Bombyx mori: one gene and its partner. The protein of the gene in region 2 interacts with the protein of the main gene of each other region in a biochemical or structural test. Links are inferred from orthologs where the notes say so. Each region holds a gene or a part of one and is shown on either strand. Other genes may lie near its edges.

The links. The genes of interacting proteins can lie anywhere in the genome.
Region 1: of the proteins of cell division cycle 7-related protein kinase (region 2) and DNA replication licensing factor Mcm6, one has a biochemical effect on the other in vitro, tested with the Homo sapiens proteins (2 studies listed by BioGRID). The link is inferred for Bombyx mori from reciprocal best matches to the Homo sapiens genes CDC7 and MCM6.

Annotation. Positions count from the first base shown.
Region 1 is NC_085132.1:5,456,891-5,461,241, forward strand, and holds part of DNA replication licensing factor Mcm6, read right to left. Parts: intron 3,827-4,351; coding exon 3,645-3,826; intron 2,433-3,644; coding exon 2,317-2,432; intron 1,129-2,316; coding exon 1,003-1,128; intron 48-1,002; coding exon 1-47. UniProt on the Homo sapiens protein: Acts as a component of the MCM2-7 complex (MCM complex) which is the replicative helicase essential for 'once per cell cycle' DNA replication initiation and elongation in eukaryotic cells.
Region 2 is NC_085121.1:308,662-313,728, forward strand, and holds the start of cell division cycle 7-related protein kinase, read right to left. Parts: upstream 3,080-5,067; 5' UTR 2,650-3,079; coding exon 2,550-2,649; intron 1,570-2,549; coding exon 1,344-1,569; intron 922-1,343; coding exon 828-921; intron 1-827. UniProt on the Homo sapiens protein: Kinase involved in initiation of DNA replication. Phosphorylates critical substrates that regulate the G1/S phase transition and initiation of DNA replication, such as MCM proteins and CLASPIN.

The DNA of each region.
Region 1 (4,351 bases), on a different chromosome or scaffold from region 2:
GTACCAGCTCACTACGGCAGACTTGTGCATACCGGAGCTCTCCTCGTCTGAAATATAAGTTACACTGAGATTAGTTAAATGGTAATAAAATGTATCAAGACCAAGATATTTCACTGGTTTATTGGTGGTCGGACCTCTTGTGAGTCCGCGCGGGTGGGTACCACCACCCTGCCTATTTCTGCCGTGAAGCAGTAATGCGTTTCAGTTTGAAGGGTGGGGCAGCCCTTGTAACTATACAAGAGACCTTAGAACTTATATCTCAAGGTGGGTGGCGCATTTACGTTGTGGATGTCTATGGGCTCCAGTAACCACTTAACACCAGGTGGGCTGTGAGCTCGTCCACCCATCTAAGCAATAAAAAAAAAACAGAGTGTCCGGCCTCAATCCTTAGACTTGAACTCGACAAATACAGTGCTGTTCTGCACTGTATAAAATGTATGCGTTGTGTTCAAATTATTTTTAAGAATAATTACATTACATGACTCTACAAGAAGCAAAGATCTTTTTCTGTGTTGTGAAAACAAAAATAAGAAACGAAAACGAGTATACCCAAACCCAATACAAACATCTTGCATGTACAAATTAGATGGGACTCGATCGAACTAAACCTTTGTGTATTACTATTAACTATTATTAATATTATATTATTAATGAGTTTTCTTTCGAGTTCTGGACTCGGTTTAGTTCCTAGCTCCCGCCCTGAAACCTTCAGGGAAGAGGAGGTTCAGACTCCCTTGAATTTATGAAAACTGTATTACCCAAAACTTTACTTATTATTGTGCATGCGTGTATGGCTGCTTGTTTTTGCATTATTTGTATGTTTATATTTGCTTCCAGTTTGTTTATGTATCTATGTATACTTTTTGCCACTACGCCTGTTGCGCCTATTACTATGGCGATGGTTTCTGTGTGTGTATTCCAGAGTCGTGTTAGTTATATATTATATATGAATATAATATTATATTACTATATTATATATTATTAATATTATATAATTTGGACCTCTCGTCTCCGCTTCAGCCTCTTCCTTCCTCATGTACACGACCAGCATATTACTGAGGCTTTTGTATTCTTCGAATGAAAGCGCCAGTTTCTTTTTAGGCGCCGAATCACCATTGCTGGGAGTTTCTGAAATCGAATGTTAATGAAATGTGTGTAATATGAATCGGTTAGAAGAAAAACACAAGAATCGATTAATTGAATATGCAATTTCGGTTATTTTGTCAAATACGTTTTTTCATATACATGTAGTTTTGAGGCTTACCTACACCCATTTTATAATAATTCCAGTAATTTTTAATTGCTAATTAACACTAAAATATATCTCAAAAGTTAATATTTTAAATTTACACTGCTTTAGAAAATAATCAGTCTTTTTCATTTCCTGAACATTTTACATTTCCAGAGATGTGCCCTTTTCGAAATTGCATATTCAATTTTATTTAACAAATATTATGTTCAATGAACAATTCTTGACACTAGTTTATTACAGTTTTATTTTTAATGGACATTACAATTTTTCGGAATGAGTACCTTTCGACAGTTATATTTGGGATGGCAATATTATTTTTTCTTAACGCAACTGCTATTGTTTTTCTGAGAAAATATAGTTATACTATATCGTTTGCATCATTACAGATGTCTTCATTACCCTTGAATATCATTCGCATGGATGCAACAGAACGTCGTCGTGGCCTAAAGGATAAGATGTCCGGTACATTCGAATCCCGCAGGTGGGTACCGATTTGTTTAATGAAATACGTACTTAACGAATGTTCACGATTTACTTCCACGGTGAAGGAATAACATCGTGTAATAAAAATCAAACCCGTAAAATTATAATTTGCGTAATTACTGTTGGTAGGACCTCTCGTGAGTCCGCGCGGGTAGGTGCCACCGCCCTGCCTATTTCTACGGTGAAACAGTAATGCGTTTCAATTTGAAGGGTCGGGCAGCCGTTGTAACTATACTGAGACCTTAGAACTTATATCTCAAGGTGGGTGGCGCATTTACGTTGTAGATGTCTATGGGCTCCGCTGACCACTTGACATCAGGTGGGCCGTGAACTCATTCACCCAACTAAGCAATAAAATATTAAATAAAAATCTTGTACCTATATACTTAATTTTCGTATTGTAGACCTAGATTTTAGACTGTGTTTAGGTAAACAGTTTTTTTGAATTGATTCCAGACTTATCGCTTAAATATCTAAATTGGAATGCTTTTGTCCACCATGTTAGGTCAAAGTCTTGGTTCCAAGAATGATGTGGTCTATCAACAAATTAGTATATATGTTTAATTGAAATATTTAATTACCTGCAGTGCCATTAGGTTCGTCTTGATCCACATCCATGCTCGGCTCGCATTGAGGTTCATCCTCGTCCAAATGTATATCGGGCTGCTCCACGCGAATAATGGATTTATTTAGTAATCTGTGTGAAAAATATTTTATAGTATATAAGTGAGACTTTTTGGCGGGAACGCGAGGAGTAAAGTGGTGTGATTTGTTTTATTTTGTATATTTGGTGTTTCTTCAGGTTTAAGTGTGTAATAACGGTGGTTTATTAACTGTTTAATATCTGTTAAAGTGTACAAATGTAGGAAAATGAAACAGAGCTGCTGGACGTAACTTCTCAAGATCCTCCAAAAAGTTCACTGAAAAAATCTCAGTAAATGACCACCATTTTACTGAGATCCCATATCATTTATTTCATCCCATATCATCTCATCTCATTTCATTTAATTTAATCCCAGTTCATTAATGTCTCAAATTAATCATCTTCATTTCACTTCATTTCATTTCATTTCACTCCATTATCTTTTTCGTAAAAATAAGAATATAAATTAAAATAAGACTTGACCTAAAGGCCTTAATTACCGGGTCATAAAATCTTTTAAAAAATAGTATATAAGTCACAAAATTTAGGCACAGAGCGGGCGTTCTAAAAACACTTAGATGGATCGTGTAAAGAGGAAATGCGAGGGAAATGTGTGCGTGCAGGGATGAAAAAAGAGGACACGTTGCGCCGAATCCGTGTGGTGCGATAAGGACAAAGAAAAAATAATTAAGCACAGATGCATTATATAATAGTTCTTAGTAGTATCTTATATATCGACGGGAAAGTTTATATGGTTTAAGCGGCATTTTTGCGACTTCACAGGAGAGCCATTTAATGTTTAAAATTTGGAAAAAATATCATTACAAAAAATTTTCTTCAGCCATTTGTATAGAGTAAACTTAATTGAAGTTCAATTAAAAACATCGAATAGTTGATGCTAGTGTAGGGTGATACCACAGAGGGAAGATCTTGAACCAAGCGGATGATATTGCTCGGTAGACCGACGGTCCCAATGTTGTTCGTAACTTGTACAAGCTGATCTTGAAAATGTAAGCGAGATTCAGGCATTTGTCAAACATCTTCGCAGCAGTGAAGCAGTAATGCGTTTCGGTTTGAAGGGTGGGGCAGCCGTTGTAACTATACTTGAGACCTTAGAACTTATATCTCAAGGTGGGTGGCGCATTTACGTTGTAGATGTCTATGGGCTCCAGTAACACCTTAACACCAGGTGGGCTGTGAGCACGTCCACCCAACTCAGCAAAAACAAAAAACAAAAGAAAAGGCAGTGTCCCCTGCAGACCGTACCGGTAGGCCTCGTGCACGTGCGCGGGCGTGACGTGTCCGCTGCAGTGCATCTTGGCGACGCCCTCGGCGAGCCGCACCATGGACTCGAGCTGGCGCACCGTGATGCGCCACGCGCCGCCCCCCGCGCCCCCCTCACGGCCCCGCAGCAACGCGTAGTACTCCACCAGTAACTTGCCTGCCTCCTAAACAATACATGTTTCGTTTTAACAAAAACTGCCACTACATTACACATGACACAAAGCCATAACTGAGTTTCTCGCCGGATCTTCACAGTTTTTTTTTCTACCTTGGCTGAGAGCCTTGAGAGGCTATATCAGCGTAACCTTAACTAGTAGGTGAGCTCACGGAGCTCAAACCTGACGTCGTTGCTAACACGAACCCTAGCAAGAGCCGTAATTCGCAGAATCTACTACCCTCAGACACAGCCCACTGAGTTTCTCGCCGGATTTTCTCAGTGGGTCGCGTTTCCGATCCGGTGGTAGATTCTACGAAGCACTGCTTTTGCTAGGGTCAGTGTTCGCATTACTTCCGGTCTGAGCCCCGTGAGCTCACCTACACATCAAGGAGAATCAGCATAGGTAGAAAAAAAAAAGACAAAGTGTAAAATTTCTATACCAAGGCCAGACTTTATAAATGAACAACATTCTGTTGTTTTCACACAAAATCTAGTTACCTATTTTAAAAACTATACTTTAGCATATTATATT
Region 2 (5,067 bases):
GATCGGGAGGATCCTAAATGACGTGTTTTGGGTGACGACGACTGTTTACCATTCGGTCCGCAGGATCGAGAATGTGTCGCTTGTGTCGAATGTGTTGTGTTATATTAGATACTAGCGACCCGCCCTCGCTTCGCTACGGAAACATTAAAACACACATGAAACTAAAAAAAAAAAAAAAATTAAAAAAAGTAGCCTATGTTCATCAGGGACAATGTCGGCTTCTAATGGAAAAAGAATTTTTCAAATCGGTCCAGTAGTTTCGGAGCCTATTCGAAACAAACAAACAAACAAATCTTTCCTCTTTATAATATTAGTATAGATTTTCAGTACATGGTCGCACAACAGTTTTGGACTGTAAGGTGTGAAAGAGTTTTAATGTTTTGTAAAACTGTTTTCAACACAAAATCAAAGTTAATGAATTTATTTAATTTATTGTATTGTATATTGATCTGCCATTATCCTGGTCATTAAAAATCAAATCACCAACATCATCATTAATCAATTATCAAAAAAAAATATTCTACTCTTAAGCTTGTTTGCTTTTAGTACTTTGCATTGTGTAAAATATTAACTTTATATGATATTTTCTGAAATGAAAATAATTTCATTAAAAAACTAACTATTGTCATGGCAGTTTTGACACAATTAATGATTTTCTGTCTAATACTTTATGAAACTGAATGTTCATTAACACATATTATCTTTCCATAAGACTAATTTAGATTCAACTGAAACTTTGAGTATTATTTTTCCAACAGATAAGTAAATGTTCCATGATGCTATTAATGTTTGAAATATTGTTTATATAGATTGACTGACATACTCACAGAAAACTTTTTATGAGGTAGATAGGGCATTACAAATACAATAGTGTCGAGATTACGAAGACAGAGCTCCACTCCAATCACATGATGTTTGCCTCTGTAATATAACACACGTAAAATGTTCAATTAAATTAATGGATAAATACCTCTACACAAGCTAGACATTCAAACACACATTAACTCATGTGCCAATGTGGTACTATTCAGTTAATGATGGTCTTGTTACTCATAGCATATAGATATAAATTCAACAAGATTTAGGATTACGACTTAATAACCTCATCTGTAACAACAAATGATGATGTTCACACATAATGACGTGCCCTTGTGTAGATTTGACCTTGATCCATGAATGGCAGATTCCTGTGTCATTTTTAGATGAGCAGATGGCAACAACATCCCATGGGGTGATAAGTAATTACGTAGATTGTACTTTAAAATAAATTCTAGTCAAATAAATATATGGGACATAATGCCTGTGTATATTAGTAATGATGCAGATTCATTTTTAAAACATACCCTATGTCCTGTAGACACCTTAACTCGTGTTCAATCCGAGCTGGATGTGCAGTAGGTACCAAGTGTTTTATGGCAAACCAACGCTTGTCTTTGTCTAGCAAAGATGAATGCTGTCTCAGTGAGCCTAAATACACTGAACTAAATGTTCCTTCTCCTATCTTTCGGTGCACTTCAAAAATCTTGTCCAGTTTTGGTAGCTTATATAAAAGTTCACATATTTGTTCACCTAGAGATAAATACAATAATTATTTTAAATTATTAATGTACTTATTTATTGGATGTCTATGTGTTTAATGACACAGTTTTGTCTTCACTGTGTAATCGGGTGAACAATCTCATGTAGTATCTGATGTTAGGTGGTTACCAGAGCATATAAAAATCACAATGTGAATGCTGCCAATCACCATAAGACTTGAAAACAACTGTCTCAGTTGTACTAACTATTGTATAAGTTACATTTTTGTGTGTTTGATTCTTATTCACTAAGTTATGGCGGAAGTCATTCAGGAACATGTATTAAGTTGTGTGTATTTTATAAGAAAAAATTATACCTGTCTACTTCATTTCACCACAGGTATTATGGTGGTTATATAACAGATATAATAAAATAATTAGGTTCAATCTATTGAGAGATGGTTCTTCTCATAATAAGTGTAATATTAAGGCTAATACATAAGGTAATACTTTGATTGACATTCACGATGCTTATGAAAGTAATATGATCTATCTTCTATTTACAAATCGTTATATTTCTGTCTTTTTAAAAACGACTTCAAAAGGGGAGGAGATATACATTTTTTTTACTTTTCTTAGAACTTTTTTTAGGATATTTTAATGATTCTTTTTTATTTGAAGAGCGATGGTTCTCATGTGCTCCTATTTAAAGTTTATTGAGATCTGACCAGTAGTTTTTGAACTATGTATCCATAAGTGATGCAAATTTAATTGACTTCAACTAATTGAATTGTTTTGTACATATGTAATTAATAATAAATAACAGTAAACAAGTCATGCACGATCATCCGGCCCCAAATCAGGATTCCGTGATATGGGTACACGTTTGCCCGGGAGTCAAACCCACGAGCCCTGGTACAATAGTCTAGGGCGCTAACTACTGCACCACCAGGTCAGTCAAAGTACGTTAATACGATTTTTAATTTACTTTTTTTAAAATAATTATTCTTATTATTTTTTATCTAAACTTACGTTCAGAAGAATCAGAAGTCTCATTTTCATTTTTATTTTCTTTGAGCTTTTTATGAGAACGTAACCCTTCTCTTATTTCAAATCCCCTAGATCTGGACATATTGGTTTAATTTATGAGTAGTTATATTTCCTCATATGGGTTGTTTTGCTGAATATTGTAAATTATAAAATAAATAACACGGGAACGGAGAAACAAGAAACACAAAACAATTGAAATTTCTTAGTTTTCGAATACAAGAAAGCGAAGAAATCACATTGTACAGCCGTGACTCTTAATTTTATTTTCATGACATAAATTATCGAATATAAAAAAAGGCCTTATCTGTTACACGAATATTAAAACACAAGTGAATGAAGAGAACGAATATCCTAAAATGGATTATGGAATATCATGATGACGGAGTGGTTGTGGCCTATTTTTTTTTTTTTTTCTCCTACCTAAGCTGAGAGCCTTGAGAGGCTATGTCAGCGTAACCCTAACTTTAGTAGGTGAGCTCACGGGGCTCAAACCTGACGATGTTGCTAACACGAACCCTAGCAAGAGTCGTGCTTCGCAGAATCTACCACCGGATCGGAAACGCGACCCACTGAGAAGATCCGGCGAGAAACTCAGTGGGCTGTGTCTGAGAGTTAATTTGCTCGTCGAGCCCTTCGACGCAAGCGTCGGGTTCGACGAGAACGGTGACCGGTGCTTGAAGTACCTAAAAGCACCGTTAGTGGATCGGGAGGATCCGAGATGACGTGTTTTGGGCGACGTCGACTGCTTTCCATTCTGTCCGCAGGATCGGGAATGGGTTGTGGCCTAAATGATGCCCGATGCATTTATGTCGAACGATACGATAATACCAATATTCGAGTCCAGCAGACAGCAATTATTTTTTCTAGTGAAATACGTATCTACTTAAAACATATTCATGAATAACTTTCACGATGTTGCGAATAAACCAGATTCGGATGCGTCGTCTACGCCGCTACACCTAGATGAAACCCGAAATACAAAGTGGGAAAGTTATTTAGAAGGACTCGCACCTTTTCATCAAGCATATTGGCGACTAGCTAGGCGACCCTCCAATTGGAAACTATCGCCACTACGCATCTTTTCGTATGGGCCTCAGGCCAACTAGCAGATATACTGCAAGAGCAATGCTCCACCAGTGCTCAAACTGCTAATCCCGAACAGACGGAGTTGGTCGACAGGAAGCGACAAACGTCAGCCGGAGTCCTACAAGGCTCCGTTCTCTCACTACTACTTTTTAGCTTACAGTTGACTCTTTTCGCTAATGATACGCCTATCAAGTACTTGAAGTGTTGTAAAATTAAACCACCCGCACAGTTTAAAACACTATCAGTTTATTGTCAAAGAACAGTGTGCTTAGTGAGAGTTTTTTAACGTTTTCGATAGCGTAAAAGTTAACCCAATTTTGTCTACTTGGAACAGTGCCCCTAGCGGCAAACGTACTCAAACGATCCTATTCCATACAAATATAAGCTAACTTTTACACCATCCAGAACGTTAAAAAACTCTCACTAAGCACACAGAAAGAACACACACAAAGAAGGAGAAGAGAGTGAAGTTATGAGAAACATTTGTCCATTCAACACACAATTAATTATTAAAATTTAAATCTAGTTTTACATCTTACAATGTATGTAATAATTACAATATAATGTTACAAGTAATTTTTAACATGCTACATACTCGAGCAGGAAAATGTCGTTCATGCATTATAAACTAAAGATCGCGGCCACCACTTTAGGACAGTGGTTCCGGAAGTGGCATGCGCGTCGACATTAACCCCACGAAAATCACAGCCGTACTGTTACGGTGTGGATCCTTTAAAAAAAAGGAAGCTGTGGCTGGCACTGAGTTTATTTTCTAAAAAAAATAGTAAATAGTACAAACGATGTGTGTTTCCGCTACTCATGCCAAATCTGTTCTGCCGCGCTTTAGCCACAAATCGTCTTTATATGAAACGATGCACCTTAGTCTGCATTATTATTTATATTGCGTTATTATTGAGGAACATATGTAACAGTACTCTTCAAAAGAGTTCGCCCTCACGATACCACAGCTAGCATTTCGCCCAGAATTAAGTGGGGTAACGCCATGCCCGCCATCAAAATTTTGATGGCCGTTTGAGGGTAAGCCCTGGGCAACGTAGACCAAGTGCAGAAAGGAGAACAGAAGGATGAAATTCGGTCCCCACATTAAGTCAGTAAGCGAACGATCCGCGTTCCTACTCGATCGACTCTATGCCATGATAGCAAGCGAAGTAAATTGTCCCTTAGTAACAAGGTGACACTAGAAAACTTAGGTCATCCAATCCTGTTTCTGCAGAATAACCGCCGCGGCGCCGTAGCACTGTGGTACGTGGGGAATATCGATCTTCACGACAATTTAAATTCAGAACCGATGTATATCTAGAGGCTAGAAATGTTGTAAAATTAAGTAAAATTGAATATCAAAATTAAATTCTATGTTGTAAAGTTAAAATTAAGTAAGTAGCGTTCTCGCTAC